4 linked regions of the Sus scrofa genome follow. The protein of the gene in region 1 purifies or fractionates together with the protein of each later gene. This does not show direct contact. Links are inferred from orthologs where the notes say so. Each region holds a gene or a part of one and is shown on either strand. Other genes may lie near its edges.

Region 1 (3,024 bases):
GCCAGACCCTACGGGAGGTGGGAGTGGAGGCCTGGATCCCACAGGTGCTCACCCAGGAGGTGGGGTCAAGGAGCAGGCCTCAGGCTCCCAGCAAGTGTGCAGGAATTGCACTGCCTAGAGCCCCTCTCCCTCTGTGCTGTGGGAATGCTAAACAAAAGGGCTCTGAGGTCATAATCTGTAAAAAGGGAAAGGAGGGGCCTTGGCCCAAGCCAAAGCCCAGACTAGATTCAAGGCCGCTGCATCTCAGGTTCCCTGTCCCCAGCTCAAGGCAAAGTGGATACAATGGGGAGTTTTGACAATAACCTCCCTCCTGACCCCCTTTCAACACTAGGCCTCAGGGTTTCTGGTCTGGGTCTCCCCTACTAGGGGGTCCGGGGGACATCGCCCAAACGTCCACATGCTGCTGCCTCTGAGCTCCGCTTCCTCCGTCTGTGCCCTGCAACTCCAGGTGGCTGACAGTAACGGTCACCCACCAGGCCCTGGACTAAAACCTTCACTCGCATTAAGCTGCCGAATCCTCACACCAACTCAGGGACGGAAGCATTGTCATCATCATCACCCCCATTTTCCCGGTGGCGAAACTGAGGCACAAAGACTCTCACTTGTACAAGTTCATCCAGTGAGTGGCAGGACCAGGATGTGAACTCACACAGTCTGGACTCTCAGGCCCACACTCCTCACCATGTTGCTTCTTAAGCCATTATTTCACAGACACCCTGTGGTCCATCTCCCTGCTCTGCCAGTCCCTGCTGTGTGGCCCCGAGCAGCGCGACCACTCCCTCGGCTTTGTCCTCTTGCACAAAAAGCCAGGACTGTCCACAGGCTGCGGCCCAGCGCTTTAGCGCCGAAATCTGCCAGTGTTAGGCAGCGGGCACTGCACCAGCATCGGGGCTACAGTCATTTGTTTTCTCAAACAGGAGAAGGTTCCAGATGTGGGCAGGGCCTCCCTCGCCCCGCCCCGCGCCCCGGTATGCAGTTGGGGGAATGCAGGGGGAGGGGCTGCCCCCAGCCAGTCATTGCCATTAATAGAGACCTGAAACACCGCCTGCTAAAAATACCCGGCTGGCCCATTATAAAAGCGCTGCGGGCTCGGCCCACCGACACTAACTCCCCTTCTCCCAGCCGCAGCCGGACGCGTCCAGCCAGCGCAGCCAGCATGACTGAGCGCCGTGTGCCTTTCTCGCTCCTGCGGAGCCCCAGCTGGGACCCTTTCCGCGACTGGTACCCGGCCCACAGCCGCCTCTTCGACCAGGCCTTCGGGCTGCCCCGGCTGCCCGAGGAGTGGTCGCAGTGGCTGAGCCACAGCGGCTGGCCGGGCTACGTGCGCCCGCTGCCCCCGCCCGCCATCGAGGGCCCCGCCGCAGTGGCCGCGCCCGCCTACAGCCGCCTGCTCAGCAGGCAGCTCAGCAGCGGCGTCTCGGAGATCCAGCAGACTGCCGACCGCTGGCGCGTCTCCCTGGACGTCAACCACTTCGCCCCCGAGGAGCTGACGGTCAAGACCAAGGACGGCGTGGTGGAGATCACGGGTGAGCCCCCGGGGACCGGGACGCGCCCACCCCCCGCCCCTCCCGCGCTGCCTCTCGCGCTCTTTCCGGGGAGGAGCCCTGGAAAATGGAAACTTAGCCGAGGACGGGGCCAGAGCCCGGGGAGCCGGCCTGGCCTCTTCGCCCTGCCCCTGGCCTGTGCCTGCTTCCCTGGACTTTGGGGGGGGTGCTCCTAAGTCCTAAGGGATCTTTTGGCCCTAAAAGCTCTCCAGTCAGGGAAGAAACGCCCCCTTCCAGCGGAGACGCCCTCAGCCCCAACGCCATCCGCGAGGGACCAGGTCTCCCCGCGCCGCGCCGCCCCCCCCCGGCCCCCGGCCCCCGGCCTGCAGTTGGTGTGGCAAGGGCGACCCCCTCCCCCGACACGCGCACGCACACGCACGCACTTCCTCCCCATCCCTAGTCCAGGTCCTCGGAGGGGGCGTGTGTGCGTGCCCATGGCTGCTGCCCCACGCCCCAGCCCCAGACTCCTGGAACCGAACTTTCCAGAAGCTTCTGAGGTCCCGGGACAGGTCTGGGGTACCCACATCCCTTAGTCCTCTCCTGGCAAGCGTTCTGGCCACCGGGTGGGGCTCGGCTGGCTGTGGGCCAGCGGGAGCGCCGGCCCCTTCAGGCCTCCTCTGACCTCCCTCCCCCACCCAGGCAAGCACGAGGAGCGGCAGGATGAGCACGGCTTCATTTCCCGGTGTTTCACTCGAAAATACACGTGAGTCCTGGCTCCGGGTGGGGTGGGGGGTGGGGAGGGCCCAGGGACGCACCGTGGGTCACTCCTGTCCTGCCTCTCCCTGTCCAGGCTGCCCCCCGGTGTGGACCCCACCCAGGTCTCCTCCTCCCTGTCCCCTGAGGGCACGCTCAGCGTGGAGGCCCCGCTGCCCAAGCCAGCCACCCAGTCGGCAGAGATCACCATCCCTGTCACTTTCGAGGCGCGGGCCCAGCTTGGGGGCACAGAAGCTGGAAAGTCGGAAAAGCCCGGAACCAAGTAAAGGCCTTCGCCCTGCTGCTCACCGCCCCCCGCCCAAACCCGCACCAGCCATCCCCACCTGCCAACTCTCTGTGCTCTTTTGATACGTCTACCTTCTGTTTTTCTCGAATAAAGTTCAAAGCAACTGCCCGCCACTGTCTCAGACCCTGGTGTGCTTGTGGAGGCTCAGGCGTCACTCCTGGTTCACGCACTCATCACGTTTGCCGAGGGCCTCCTGTGTGCCAAGCCCTGTGCTGGCCCCTGTGCGTGCTGCGTCCATCACAGGGCACAGCCCTGCCCTCCAGTCCCTTGTTGAGGGAGAGACTGTTTATGCGGCAGTTAAAGCCCCCGGGGCCAGTGTGGGAGCAGGGACGCCAGGAGAGGCACCCGGCCGAGGCACTCAGGACACCTGGGCAGGGGGCGAGGGAGGGGGACGTCCCGGCAGCTCAGGGTTCCTTCCTGACCGCATCATAACCTCCTCATCTCCACGGAGAAGAGCAGGACCGCAAAGACGGGATGGGA
Region 2 (4,088 bases), on another chromosome or scaffold:
GAACCTCATGGGGACTAGTGGGGTCTGTTAACCACTGAGCCACTACGGAAACTCTTCTGCTATATTTTAATAAAATTTATCTTTAAATGTGCAACAAGAAAATAAAGTGGCAAGATGCCCAACATTTGTGGAGTATGCAGGGATCCAAGAGGTGGGAAACTCAGCGACTGGACCGGTGTTAACTTTTTGGTTTCCCCAGAAGTTCACCTTTGGACCCAGCTTTGCTTCCGTGAGTCCCTCCAGCTTCCCTAAAGCTGGGCTAGGTGGGGGTCCAGGCGAGGCGGGCGTCAAAGTTGGTTTCTTCTCTTTTTGTTCTTTCATCAGCACTTCCAGAAGAAAAGACGAGACTCCGAGGCCTTTTACGAGCCTCATTTCGTCTCACAGTCCATACAGCGGCAATCTGCAGATTCTCCTCAGAGCCTCCTCCTCCTCACAACGCCCGTCCTCAGGCCCTGGAGCTTCTGGACAAAGCCCGGCCTCCCGGCCATCATCGCCTCCGCCTCGGGGACCTCCTCCAGAAAAGACGTCGTAGAACCACCTAGATTCTACCTACTTGGTTGGCCAATAGTTCTGTAGTGGAAAGCAAACCAGCAACAATAACAATAATAATAAAACACATTTGTACAGCTCGTGGTGCTCATTTGTATCCCGTGTTAGGACTTCGCAATTGGGCGAAGTAGGCACCTGTCGGTAGAAGTAGCAGCTGGACAGCGAAAAGGAGAGCGGGCCCATAGAAGGGAATGGCAGGTACAGTCGATTAAGCCAGGGAAACTGGTACCTGGCAGGTAGGAAATCGGCGCCAGAGGGCTTGTCAATAGCGCCGCGGATGGAAAAGGTTTTATTTTCCTCTCAAGAGGCTCCCCCCATTCCGTGCATCCCTGTGCAGCCTCGGAGGGCTCAATTCCTTTGCTGCTCTGTTCCGTACCCCCCCCCCCCCCCTTGGGAAGGTGGCTCTGTCCTCCCCGCACGCGACGCGCTGGCGGTTGGCCGGCTGCGGGAAGCTTCTGATTGGCCGAGTCGCAGAAGCACCGGGTGAAAAGAGCTTCACTGGCGGCGCGCCCCCACTCGGGGCGTAGCCAACGCCGTACGGGAAAATGGCGGCCCGCATGTACCTTGAGAGGCCCCGAATGGGGGATGGAGGGGCGCAAATCCGCCCCCTGCAGGTCAGGGAGAAAGGCGCCTCAGACTATGTGGGCGGCACTGGAGGTGCTCGAGGAGGCGGGCCTACTGTCACTTCCGGCCACTGGGGAGACTGGGATCCGTACGGCAACATGGCCGCACCCAGGAGCCTGTAGGCGGAAACTCCGCCGCTTCCGGTCCGGAGTAGGGCCTGCGGTGGGAGGGGGAAGGAAGGCGGAGGGAACCATGCGAGGTTCTGAGATCCGCGGCGAGTGTCGCCTCGAGAGACCGTTTCTGAGGTGGGGCCGGGCGGTGCGGGGGGCGAAGGCGGGGCGGGAATGTCGAGGTCGAGGTACTCGGGAGTCCTGGGCGTTGAGTCTGAGGGGCAGGCTGAGGTACCTTCCTTACTATCCCTGAAGGGGTGTGGGGGGGCCGGGGGCTGAACTGGGGGAGGGGGACTTGGCGGGAAGCTCCTCCGGGGGCAGGGCCGGCCTCAGGACTAGAGTGTGAGAGCAAGCAGGAGAGACCAGTGTGGGGCCCACGGTCGCTTACAGGTCACACGGAGAGAATGGGGAGGCTCGGGTTGGTGTGAGAGAGAGGGGACTGGAGCCGAGCTATCTCCGACTGCCGCCCCGGCTGGAGGAGACCCACCGGAGGGCGGGGTAGGGAGGTGGTCTTGGCAGGAGAAAGGGGAGTGGATGTGGGGAGGACCAACCCTCGCCTCGGAGAGGCTGGGAGTTGGGGTGATCCTACAGGACGGGGCGAACCTGTGGGAGAGCGGAAGGGGGACACGGGGAGGTGGTGCCAACGAGGGTGTGGTATCTGTTCCAGGGGGTGTCGAGGAAATCTGGAGTGCAGTGTGAGAGGTGGTCCGGGGTTGAGAAGAATCAACTTGCCACCTATGAGAAATAGTGGGGAAATGCAACCGAAAGACCGGATGTCGACGTGAGGGGTGGAGCTGGGGGTGGGACTTCAGGTTTTCCGAGGGTTTGGGGCTCTCGTAGTAAAGGGACAGAAAAACACGGTACTAATGGTTGCTGAAGACAGGCAGTGAGGACACTGTTGGGCATGGCTGGGTGTTTTTGAAAACCAAGAAGACAAAAATGTGTGAGATGAAGGGATGGGGCTCTGCTGGAGGGGCTCTTTCTGAGGCCCCGTCCCCTTCCAGCAGGAATCACGAAAACCCCACCACTTCCTCCCTCCGGGGGATTTGATCCCCCATGGCCACCGCTAACAGCATCATCGTGCTGGATGATGATGACGAAGATGAAGCAGCTGCTCAGCCAGGGCCCTCCCACCCACCCCCCAACCCAGCCTCACCCAGGGCAGCCCCCATTCCAGCCTCACCCAGGGCAGAAGCCCCTGGCTCCTCCCAGCCCCATGGGGCTGGAGGAGGCAGTAGTTCGGGCGGCAAGAAATGCTACAAGTTGGAGAATGAGAAGCTGTTTAAAGAGGTGAGCTTTAGGGGAGAGGATTCTTGTACTCCAGGGAGGGGGCTGGCCGACTGGCTCTCTTGTCTTGTCTTCCCCACTAACCCCACCTCGCCTTCTTTCTCTCAACCCATCCCTTGTCCCTTTCCCCGTGAACCTTCCAGTTCCTTGAACTGTGTAGGAGGCAGACAGCAGACCACCCTGAGGTGGTCCCGTTCCTCTCTAGCCGGCAGCAGCGGGCCCACTCACTGTTTTTGGCCTCGGCGGAGTTCCACAACATCCTCTCTCGGGTCCTTTCCCGGGCTCAGAGCCGGCCCGCCAAGCTCTATGTCTACATTAACGAGCTCTGCACTGTTCTCAAGGCCAACTCGGCCAAGAAGAAGATGAACCTGGCCCCTGCTGCCACCACCTCTAGTGAGCCCTCCGGGAATGACCCCCCCACAGGCCCCTCCTCGGACCCCATAAATGCTGAGACCACTGCCTCTGAGGCCCCAAGGACCCGTGGTTCCCGGCGGCAGATCCAGCGCTTGGAGCAGCTTCTTGCGCTCTATGTGGCAGAGATCCGGCGGCTGCAGGAAAAGGAGCTGGATCTCTCAGAACTGGACGACCCGGACTCCACTTACCTGCAGGAGGCCAGACTGAAGCGTAAGCTGATCCGCCTCTTTGGGCGGCTGTGTGAGCTCAAAGAATGCTCTTCTCTGACGGGCCGGGTCATAGAGCAGCGCATCCCCTACCGGGGCACCCGCTACCCGGAGGTGAACAGGCGCATCGAGCGGCTCATCAACAAGCCAGGGCCTGATACCTTCCCTGACTATGGAGACGTACTTCGGGCTGTCGAGAAGGCAGCTGCTCGGCACAGCCTTGGCCTCCCCCGACAGCAGCTCCAGCTCATGGCTCAGGATGCCTTCCGAGATGTGGGCATCAGGTTGCAGGAACGTCGCCACCTCGATCTCATCTACAACTTCGGCTGTCACCTCACAGACGACTACAGGCCAGGTAGGCCTTAGCAGGGTCTCCCCAGTCCCTTGGTGTGTTGGCCTATGCTGGAGGAAGCTCTCTGGAGTCCCTCCTTCTAGGATTCTGGGTGAGTGCTCTGACCTATGTCTTCCCATGCAGGTGTCGATCCTGCCCTGTCAGATCCTGTCCTAGCCCGGCGCCTGCGGGAGAACCGGAGCTTGGCTATGAGCCGACTGGATGAGGTCATCTCCAAATATGCAATGATGCAAGACAAGAGTGAGGAGGGCGAGAGACAGAAGAGAAGGGCTCGGCTCCCCCAGGCCACCTCTGCCCACTCTGCAGAACCCCCCAAAGCCTCCTTGGATTCTGGCGAGGTATGGAAGGGCCACACCCTTGAGAGAGACCCTGTCCTTCCCCTGCACTGGCCAGGAGGGAGTCCTTGGGACTGATGGCGGAGTGTGCAGAAGGGATGCAAGAACCAGTCCCTCAAGGGGGCAAGGGATTCCTTAGAGAAACTCCTTTGTCCCCCGAAGGGCCCTAGTGGGATGGCCTCCCAGGAGTGCTCGACCACTTCCAAGGCTG
Region 3 (4,013 bases), on another chromosome or scaffold:
TGTGTGAATATACTGAAAAGCAGTGAATTGTTCACTTTCAATGGGTGAATTGTGTGGTATGTGAATTATATGTCAATAAAGCTATTTTTGAAAATAAGAGATTATGAGGGGTATAAATTAAGCAAAGGTAGCAACAGGTTGATAACTGTTGACGCTGGGAGGTGGGTACCTTGGGTTTATACTATCCTTTCTACTTTTGCACATCTTTGGTATTTTTCACAATAAAACGATCCGAGCCCCATCATCTCTCACCTGGATAACTGCAATAACCTCCTAGCAGATCACCTTGCTCCAACCCTTGCCCCCTACGTACAGTCTGTTCTACCCACCGCGCCAGAACAATCAGACCAAAAGGTAATTCCTACCACGTCTCTCCTCTATCCAGATCCCTACCATAGTTCCTCATGGCCCTCCGCCAAAAAGCCACAACCCGTACAACAAGATAGTAGGCCGTGCACTATCTGGTCCCCCATTGCTTCCTCTCTAACTATTCCCCCCTCGCTCACTCTATTCCAGGTATAGTGGCCTCCTTATGGCCCATTCATCCTCAAGTCACAGAACTGATATGAGGTCCGGCAGACATTAACCGTTGTGCAAAGTGAGCAAAATGAAGCGCATGAGGAAAGATGCTTAGCTGTCAAATTACCCTTGAGGCTTTTTTAAAGAACTTAACAACTTCAAATGTAGTCAAGTTCGATGAACAGAAAATGTCTCCGAAGTAGAATAGTCATCCACGAACTAGGGGTGTGGTCAGACTCCGCCGCGGCAGAGGAAGGAGAGGCGAAAACTGCCCCGCTCGTCGCCAGAGTAACCTGGGTCCTGAATTGGCCAGCCTCGGCGGGTGATCTAGAAGCGGGCGGCAGAACCGGGCCGGGGCCCAATAGGAGGGGAAAGCCTGGTCGTCCAGGGGGGGTCTCGGAGGTGGCGGAACGCCCACCAATAGTACCCTATCTTCGGAGAAGAGGACCACACCTGTCAGCAGAGTCGGTCCGACGTGAGAAGGGCGGGAGCGGCGGGTCCCGAGCGCTCCTCGGACCCCGGCGCTCGGAGAAAGTTCGGGTTCCGCGGTCGCCCTTCCCTTCTCGGGCTGCCAAATTCCCATTTCCTGCTTCCGGTGTCGTAGCTGTGGGATCCGGAAGTAAAACACTCACACTCCGCCCCCACCCCGCCCCCAGCAGGCCCGCGAGAGGCGCGAGGGAGACTTGTCCCCAGACGGAAGCCCGAGCGTACCAGGCTCGGCTGGCCCGTAGGACACTCTTCAATAATATGCGTCGCGACCCGCATTTCCCCTTGTCTCTCCGGCGGCGGCATCCAGCGAGCGGCAGGTCGGCTGCCCCGCCCCCACTAGGGGAGGAGCCACGACGAGGCTATCATGTGATAGGGCCAGTTTGATCGGAGTCGACGACCCGTCCAGTGAGGGGGCGAGGCTAAAGAGGGCCCCGCCTACAAGTGGGGTCGAGGGGCGTGACCACGCTGCCGGCGGAAGTGGAGCCCTTCTTGAGGGCGCAGGACAACCCCGGGCTGACGAGAAAGCCAGACTGTAGGGGCGGGGCCAGGCCAGGGATGGGAACGCGGGCGAGCTGTGGGGAGCTGCACACGGACTCGCGAAGCATCGGGGACACGGCGCAGCGGCGGCGAGGACAGCAGGGGGCCCGCAGCCCGGCGGCCGGCGCAGGTGCTCAAGGGGCGGAGCGGGTCAGGCCGGCAGGCCTCGCGCGGGAGCGGGGGGGGGGGGGTCCCACCGGCCCGAGATGCGCGCGCACCTGCCTCGCCCCGCCTCTCGGGGGAGGGGCACACGGAGGCCCCGCCCGCGCGCCTCGCCTGAGGCTGGTCAGCTCAGACCAGGTGCCCGCCCCCGCCAGTTAAATGGGCAGGCGGGGCGCAGCCCCAGGAAACTGCCGGGAACTCCGGGGCTGCGAGCGCGAAGGGCAGCAGCGGTGAAGCACAGGTAACTGAGTGGGCGAACGCTTTGATTTGCCACGCTTGGGAAGGGGGCAAAATCGAGAGGGTGTTAACTGATCTAACCGTCCCCTGCATACCCCCATTGGGCCCCTGAGGGGACCCCGAGAGGGGCGGGGATTGGCCGGGGTCTCCCAGCGGTGGTGGAGGAGGACTAGATCTACACTGTCAGCTGCTTGATCTAACTTGCTCCAGCTCATTGAGGAGCTTCCGCCTGAATCCTTGGTGAGATGGCCTTAGCAGGTGGTCCGATGTTCCAGCTTGGTGTTACTCCCCCAGAGCTGAGGCCCTCGTTGGAGTCCACTAATGCTTAGAGTAATGTTGTAATGTACACGCTGAAAGAAGGCTGTCTGGAGAGTATGACCAGAGCCAGCAGTTTCTCATCCCCCAACCATCCTGCTCGCAGCCATTCCCACCAAGTGGTTTCAGTAATCAGGCATCAGCTGGACGAGAGCCCAAAGGACTCCTCCAGAAAGGGGCCAGCCAGCTTCTCAGTGCTTTCCGGTTCTCCTGCCTCATCAATAAGTTTTTTTTCCTCCAGAGAGTACCATGGCAGAGCAGGTGGCTCTGAGCCGGACCCAAGTGTGCGGGATCCTGCGGGAAGAGCTGTACCAGGGCGATGCTTTCCATCAGTCGGATACACATATCTTTATCATCATGGGAGCATCGGTGAGTCTCCCCCAGGCCCCACATCTTAAATGCAGCAGACTTAGAGCAGGACATGGCTTAGGTCCCTTCCCTCTCCGTGCCTGGGCTCGCCCACCTGCTTGTTATAGGGCCTCTCCAGCTCTGCTTGGCTGGGCTCTCCCTCCTGCTCTTGCGCCACTATCACCCCAGCACCCCCTGGTGTAGGCGTATTGCAAGGCCTTGCTGAAGTCTGTGTGCAGCCATTGGCTGCAGCCTCATGCCCTGGAGCCCGGAGGTCCGCAGGGGCTGTGTGCTTGGACTTCCTCCTCCGTGGGGAAAAGTGAGAGGCAAACAGGGGAAGCTGTTCATTCTGGGAGTGTGTTTTCCAAACTCGCGTCTGACTTGGTAAACGGCGTGAAGTCAGTTTAGTTCCAGAGGTAGGATCTGAGGTCTGATCTCCACCTTGTGTCTGCCACGTCAGGTTCCGTGAGGACAAACACTCAACTTTGCTTTGAGCAGCATCTCTTTGCCCCAGCTTCTAGGGCCTGCTCAGGAGCTACGACCAGCCCCATTGTCTAGCCAGTGGACCTGCCATTTTGCTCTGATCAGAAAGGCCAAAGAGTAGACACAGAAGGGGGTGGCTCCTCAGAGAGCCATGACCCGCAGCCTAAACTCCCTCTGCATGCCGTGCCGTGCGACCCAAGCTCTCCCATGGGGCAAGACGCAGGCGGCCTGCTGGGGTTTCCTGTGCAAGTGATCTGTGTCCTCTTTTCCCTCTTAACCTTGGATGTGACCAAGAATCTGCTACCCGTGGCATCCACTGCTTTGCGGGTAACTTACTGTATAGACCTTGAGCGAGAGTCCTACCGGAACTCCTTAGCTCTTGACAGGGCAGGCCACTGTCCCTCTGTGCCTTCCACGCTGCTGTCCTCTCAGCTCTGGGGAACTCACCGCCTGCTCCCTGCCGACTTTGTGATTCTGGGCAGGACTTGGAAAAGGAGAGCCAGAAGGCGAAGGCTACCTTAAGCACTATCCCTTGAACCTTTGTCACCCGGCGACTGGGGGGTGCGCAGGAGGAACACACAGGGGGACAGGCTTATCCTGCACCCTGGCCCCAGCCCGGTCCGCTTAGAGGAGCCTCAAACCTTAACACTTGGAACTCTGACCATTCGGCCCTTCATCCAAGAACCCGGATGGTTTTTCCTCCTTCCTCCATCCCCACCCCAGCCTGTCGCAGGCCTCCGGAAGTGGCCCGTGGCCCCAGGCGCTGCGCCTCGCCGAGAGCAGCCAGGTGTGACCTGGGCCAAGTGTCTTTTCCCTCGTTGTCTCCACTTATCGACTGAGGGCTTTTGAAACAAGTGCCCAGGGCCCTGCGGAGCCGACCCTCTGACCCCTGGTGGCCTTCTCTTGTGGCCTGGCTCTGGGTT
Region 4 (4,304 bases), about 7.1 Mb from region 1:
TGAGATAGAGAACAACAGCCCAGGGCCCGGGCACTTGGCTTAGCCCAGCTTTCTGGAGTTGAAATTAAAAACTTGGAGGTGACTACCCCCATCATGTGGTGTCTCTGCTCACTTTCCTAGGGGAGTCCCCCGACCCCTTCACCCCTCGAGCAGCGTCTTCTCCAGGTCTCTGTGTCTCCATACAGATCACTCTCAGAGGAACTTAAAAAATACTTGTGCACTGGTTCCTGGAGCCCTGGGATGCGGTCAAGTTTCCAGGCTTCTCCTTGAGGATATGGTTTGGGGCCCCAGGGGAAGCCTGCTTTCAGCTCATGCTACTTCATTGCTCAGGCAGCCATCCAGCTAGACACTCGATCAAAGCTACGAGGGTTGTACCAAGGGGATGGGGAGGGTACATCTCGGACCCAGGCCTTACTGTTTCCTCGTGCCATTCCCCCATCTTGGGCCTACGGTCTCTGGGTCCATTTGTCCTGCTGTTTGGGTGAGGGAAGACCTACTGTGTTCTTCAAGTCCCTAAGGCCCTTAGTCATGCCCAGAGGGAGCCCGAGCCCTAGGCTGACATCCAGGTGAAGGAAGGGCTCGTGTCGTTTTAGTTGCCCAGGCGGGGTCTTCGTAACCTGGCTGCCAGCTCACTGGCCACTTAGGCGGCAGCCTGATTTCAAAGAAAGTGCCCAGACTGGGCCTGCTCGCCAGTTTCTAGGGAGCCAAGGTTGCCTCTTGCCACCCCTGTGCCTCTGGGAGTGTCCAGATCTCTGTTCTTCAGCTGAGCTTTAGAACCACACAGAGAGCTTTTTATATGTACAGATGCCAGGCCCTTTCAGACTGAATTGAACTGAGGTCAGGGCAACTTGGGCATAGGTTGAAAAAGCTCCCAGGCTTTTCTGATTTGCTGCTGGAGGCTGTGTTCAGCTTTCCTGTCTATGTGCATCAGTATCTTGGGAAAGGGCTCTTTGGGGACAGGTCTGGGTCATCTCGGTGTTGGGGAAGGCTGCTTGGGGTCTGGTCGGGGTCTGGTTGCCAGGAAGTGTTTGCCCTCAGTCTGCACAGGGCTTGGGCCTAGGTTTCTTTGTTCCTGTGTCTATATGTCTGTTTCCAACTCTATGGCTTGGGGTCTGTGGGTTTGTTGTATCATCTGTCTCTGTCTCTGGAAAATTTCCTTGTGTCTCACGTGTCTGACTTTTGGGATCTGTTTATGTCATTGTCACAGTCTCTAAGGGAAGGCCTCTGAACCTGGGGTCTGACTGATCCTTCTCTGCCTCCAAGAAAATCTGTCTGAAGCAGACCTCCAGGAGCAGCCTGGGTGGGAGGGGAGCTCTGTCTAGACCCTGGGTGCTAGTTTTGAGTGCTGTCAGTTTGGGGGCCTCAGTCTGTGTGTAAAAGTATTGCTGGGCAGATGATCCTGGGCTTGGTCTGGAAAAGAGCCACTTTTCTTACTCGGGCTCTGGCCGCCTGGGGCTCCCTGCAGCTGAGGCCAAGGCTGGGGTGTGGCCGCCTCCGAGGCGGGCAGGCTGGGCCCGGGTGGGCAGGGCCCTCCTTCCCTCCCAGGCCCCCACCCCGGGTTCTCCCGTTCATTGCCCCCCCTCCCCCCGCAGCCCTATCCCAGCGGGTCCCGGCTTCCTTACATGGTCACGGCTGGGCCTCCAGCTCCCGGACGTCCCCCCACCCCCGCCCCCACCGGACACGGCCCCCGCCCTGCTCGCCCCGCGCGCGGTCGGCCCGCGCCCCGTCATGGAGGACCTGGGTGAGTGGGGCCCGGGTCCCCTTGTCCCCAGTCCCTCACCACTGCCTAGATCCGCTTTCCTATCCTGGAGCCCCCTGCACTCCCGGCATCTCCCCATCCCTGCCTCCTGTCTTCTCGCTTCTGGTGTCTGCCGGCGCCTCCTTTCCGACTCCACGTCCCCCTTCCTGCCTCTCCCTTCCTGCCTTTCCCAGACTGGCCGCTCCCTCCCTTCTTCCCCCCGCTCGGCTCCTCCATCACTGGCTGCAGACAGATGGGCAGGGAGGTGCAGCGCCTGTGGGCTCCTAAGCTCAGGAGCTCTGGGAAGGGAGGGGTTAAAGGGACCTCGGGTCCAGGGACTTGGAAAGTAGAGAAGGGAGAATCTGACATCACGTTCTGGAGAAGAAAATGGGCTTGCCCTAGGATTTGGGGAAGGAAAGAGTTAAGGGCCCTTAAGTAGTAAGGAAGGGGTCAGATCCTTGGGGCAGAAAGTATAATAGATGGGTGCCAAGATGCCAGGGAGAGGTTAAGGGTTTCACCAAGGTATTCAGAGGTGAAGAGTAAAGGGCCAGAGACTTCTAGATTCTAGAAGGCAAAAGGTTCGAAGGATCTGTATCTGTGGATGAGGAGGTGTGTGTGTGTTGTGTGTGTGTGTGTGTGTGTGTGTGTGTGTTTCTGTCTCTTTGGGGAAAGGAAAGATGACCCAGGCATCTGCATCCTCCCTGTCTGTTGCAAGTAGGGCTAGAAGAAGAGAAGGGGTTCCAGCACCATGCAGTAGGGGGTGCTGTTCAGCAAGGGTAACAGGCGCTGGCTCTGTGAAGAATAGGCCAATCAGAAAGAAGATCCGAGCAGACTCACCAATGAGGTGTATAGTGTGGGGCCCAGCGGGTCTGGAGGTGGGCCAGAGTTGGGAGGGGCCTCTTTAGGTGTAGGGGGTTGGGCAGAAAGGACATCCAATCAGGAAGCTGGTGCCAGGCATACAGCCAATTGAGCAATTTGGGGTGGAGCCAAATTTGACTCCAATAAAGAGCCAATTTTGACTGCATTAGAGAAGATTTGGAGAATAAGCGAATCAGGTGGCCGAGTTTGTAAATGACTCCTAGGATGAGCGATATGGGCTCTTCTGATCATACTTATTCCTTGCTGTCCTACATCTCTGCCTTGGTCTGGCCTTTGTTTCCTTCTGACTCTTGACGTCTCTTCTTAAAACTGGCTTCTGTCCTCCTCAACTACTTCCCACTTAGAACACTTATTTCTGATCTCTTAAGGCCCTGTCTCTGCCCTAACCTTGACCTCTCAACCTCTCACCCTGACGGCCTCTTCCTGCAGATGCCCTGCTCTCTGACCTGGAGACCACAACCTCACACATGCCAAGGTCAGGGGCTCTAAAAGAGCGACCCCCGGAGCCCCTCACGTCTCCTCTGCCACAGGTGAGATCAGATGCTGGGGTACTGGGGCAACCACCAGGGCTGGGTTTGGCGGGGGCAAAGGGAATCTGGGCCTGAGTGGAGCCAAATTCAGGCCTATCATCCCATGCCTATGTCTTCTCTGCAGATGGGCTCTGGGGAGTCTTCAGGAGCCTCTGGGGACAAGGACCATCTGTACAGGTGAGGAGGCTGGGAACTGGGGAATGGGGAGCCAATGGAGACTCCAGGTGAGGAGGCTTGGATTCCCCACCCCTGAACCCAGGCTACCACCCTGTTTCCCAGTACGGTATGCAAGCCCCGGTCCCCGAAGCCTGCGGCTCCTGCGGCCCCTCCGTTCTCCTCTTCCTGTGGTGTCTTGGGCACGGGTCTCTGTGAGCTAGACCGATTGCTTCAGGAACTTAATGCTACTCAGTTCAACATCACAGGTACCAGGGTTACTGAGACTGGATTTGATGGGATGGGGGCAGGGCAGAGCAGAGACTAAGGGGTATAGACTTCCCAGAGTAGCAGCTAAAGGGACACAAGCCTTAAATGGGAGGGAGGCTAGGGCATAGCCCATGCCCAGTGCCCTTCTCTCCTCTCTGCAGATGAAATAATGTCCCAGTTCCCATCTAGCAAGGAATCTGCAGGGGAGAAGAAGGAGGACCCCTCTGAGGACAAGAAAAGGCCCAGCCCGTGAGTTTGGCCTAGTTGACAGGGCTGGGAGAGTGGTGATGCATCCTGGATGCCCGCGTTACTAGAGGAAGCGTGACTCTGAGGCTCTGGGTTGACACAGTTTTGTTCTTCACAGCCCTCCCAGCCCAACCCCTGTTCTCCCAAAGCCTTCGGCCACCTCGGCCACCCTGGAGCTAGACAGACTGATGGCCTCACTCTCTGACTTCCGTGTCCAGAACCACGTGAGTCAGGTGGGGGGGGGGGCGAGGGGAGGAGGTGGTAGGCCAGTGTGGGTGTGTGGCTCCCAACCCATTTTAGACGTGCCCACATCTGCTGCCTTGCTAACTCAGCTCTCCTGTCCTCCCTGCTGCAGCTTCCAGCCTCTGGGCCAACCCAGCCAGCAGTGCCAAGCTCCGTGAATGAGGGCTCCCCATCCCCACCAGGGCCCACTAGCCAGGGCAGCCTAGACACCATGCTGGGGTTGCTTCAGTCTGACCTCAGCCGCC

Evidence for each region.
Region 2: the proteins of HSPB1 (region 1) and DAXX purify together in Homo sapiens (affinity purification with western blotting; 3 studies listed by BioGRID and IntAct, with this or other methods). This does not show direct contact. The link is inferred for Sus scrofa from reciprocal best matches to the Homo sapiens genes HSPB1 and DAXX.
Region 3: the proteins of HSPB1 (region 1) and G6PD fractionate together in Homo sapiens (co-fractionation; 3 studies listed by BioGRID and IntAct, with this or other methods). This does not show direct contact. The link is inferred for Sus scrofa from reciprocal best matches to the Homo sapiens genes HSPB1 and G6PD.
Region 4: the proteins of HSPB1 (region 1) and TGFB1I1 purify together in Homo sapiens (affinity purification with western blotting; 3 studies listed by BioGRID). This does not show direct contact. The link is inferred for Sus scrofa from reciprocal best matches to the Homo sapiens genes HSPB1 and TGFB1I1.

The regions. Positions count from the first base shown.
Region 1 is NC_010445.4:10,037,574-10,040,597, reverse strand, and holds HSPB1 (heat shock protein beta-1), read left to right. Parts: upstream 1-1,156; coding exon 1,157-1,526; intron 1,527-2,183; coding exon 2,184-2,247; intron 2,248-2,334; coding exon 2,335-2,524; downstream 2,525-3,024. UniProt on the Homo sapiens protein: Small heat shock protein which functions as a molecular chaperone probably maintaining denatured proteins in a folding-competent state. Plays a role in stress resistance and actin organization.
Region 2 is NC_010449.5:29,678,343-29,682,430, reverse strand, and holds the start of DAXX (death domain-associated protein 6), read left to right. Parts: upstream 1-1,285; 5' UTR 1,286-1,418; intron 1,419-1,489; exon of another isoform or gene 1,490-1,514; intron 1,515-1,950; exon of another isoform or gene 1,951-2,287; 5' UTR 2,288-2,339; coding exon 2,340-2,573; intron 2,574-2,713; coding exon 2,714-3,545; intron 3,546-3,665; coding exon 3,666-3,880; intron 3,881-4,039; coding exon 4,040-4,088. UniProt on the Homo sapiens protein: Transcription corepressor known to repress transcriptional potential of several sumoylated transcription factors. Down-regulates basal and activated transcription.
Region 3 is NC_010461.5:125,038,238-125,042,250, reverse strand, and holds the start of G6PD (glucose-6-phosphate 1-dehydrogenase), read left to right. Parts: upstream 1-1,210; 5' UTR 1,211-1,230; coding exon of another isoform or gene 1,231-1,311; 5' UTR 1,312-1,563; coding exon 1,564-1,675; intron 1,676-1,802; exon of another isoform or gene 1,803-1,948; intron 1,949-2,500; coding exon 2,501-2,628; intron 2,629-4,013. Other genes in the region: IKBKG (NF-kappa-B essential modulator), read right to left, coding at 1,231-1,311. UniProt on the Homo sapiens protein: Catalyzes the rate-limiting step of the oxidative pentose-phosphate pathway, which represents a route for the dissimilation of carbohydrates besides glycolysis.
Region 4 is NC_010445.4:17,096,402-17,100,705, reverse strand, and holds the start of TGFB1I1 (transforming growth factor beta-1-induced transcript 1 protein), read left to right. Parts: upstream 1-1,501; 5' UTR 1,502-1,728; coding exon 1,729-1,741; intron 1,742-1,965; exon of another isoform or gene 1,966-2,347; intron 2,348-2,368; exon of another isoform or gene 2,369-2,582; intron 2,583-2,653; exon of another isoform or gene 2,654-2,793; intron 2,794-2,985; exon of another isoform or gene 2,986-3,046; coding exon 3,047-3,147; intron 3,148-3,271; coding exon 3,272-3,324; intron 3,325-3,426; coding exon 3,427-3,569; intron 3,570-3,731; coding exon 3,732-3,819; intron 3,820-3,934; coding exon 3,935-4,040; intron 4,041-4,171; coding exon 4,172-4,304. UniProt on the Homo sapiens protein: Functions as a molecular adapter coordinating multiple protein-protein interactions at the focal adhesion complex and in the nucleus. Links various intracellular signaling modules to plasma membrane receptors and regulates the Wnt and TGFB signaling pathways.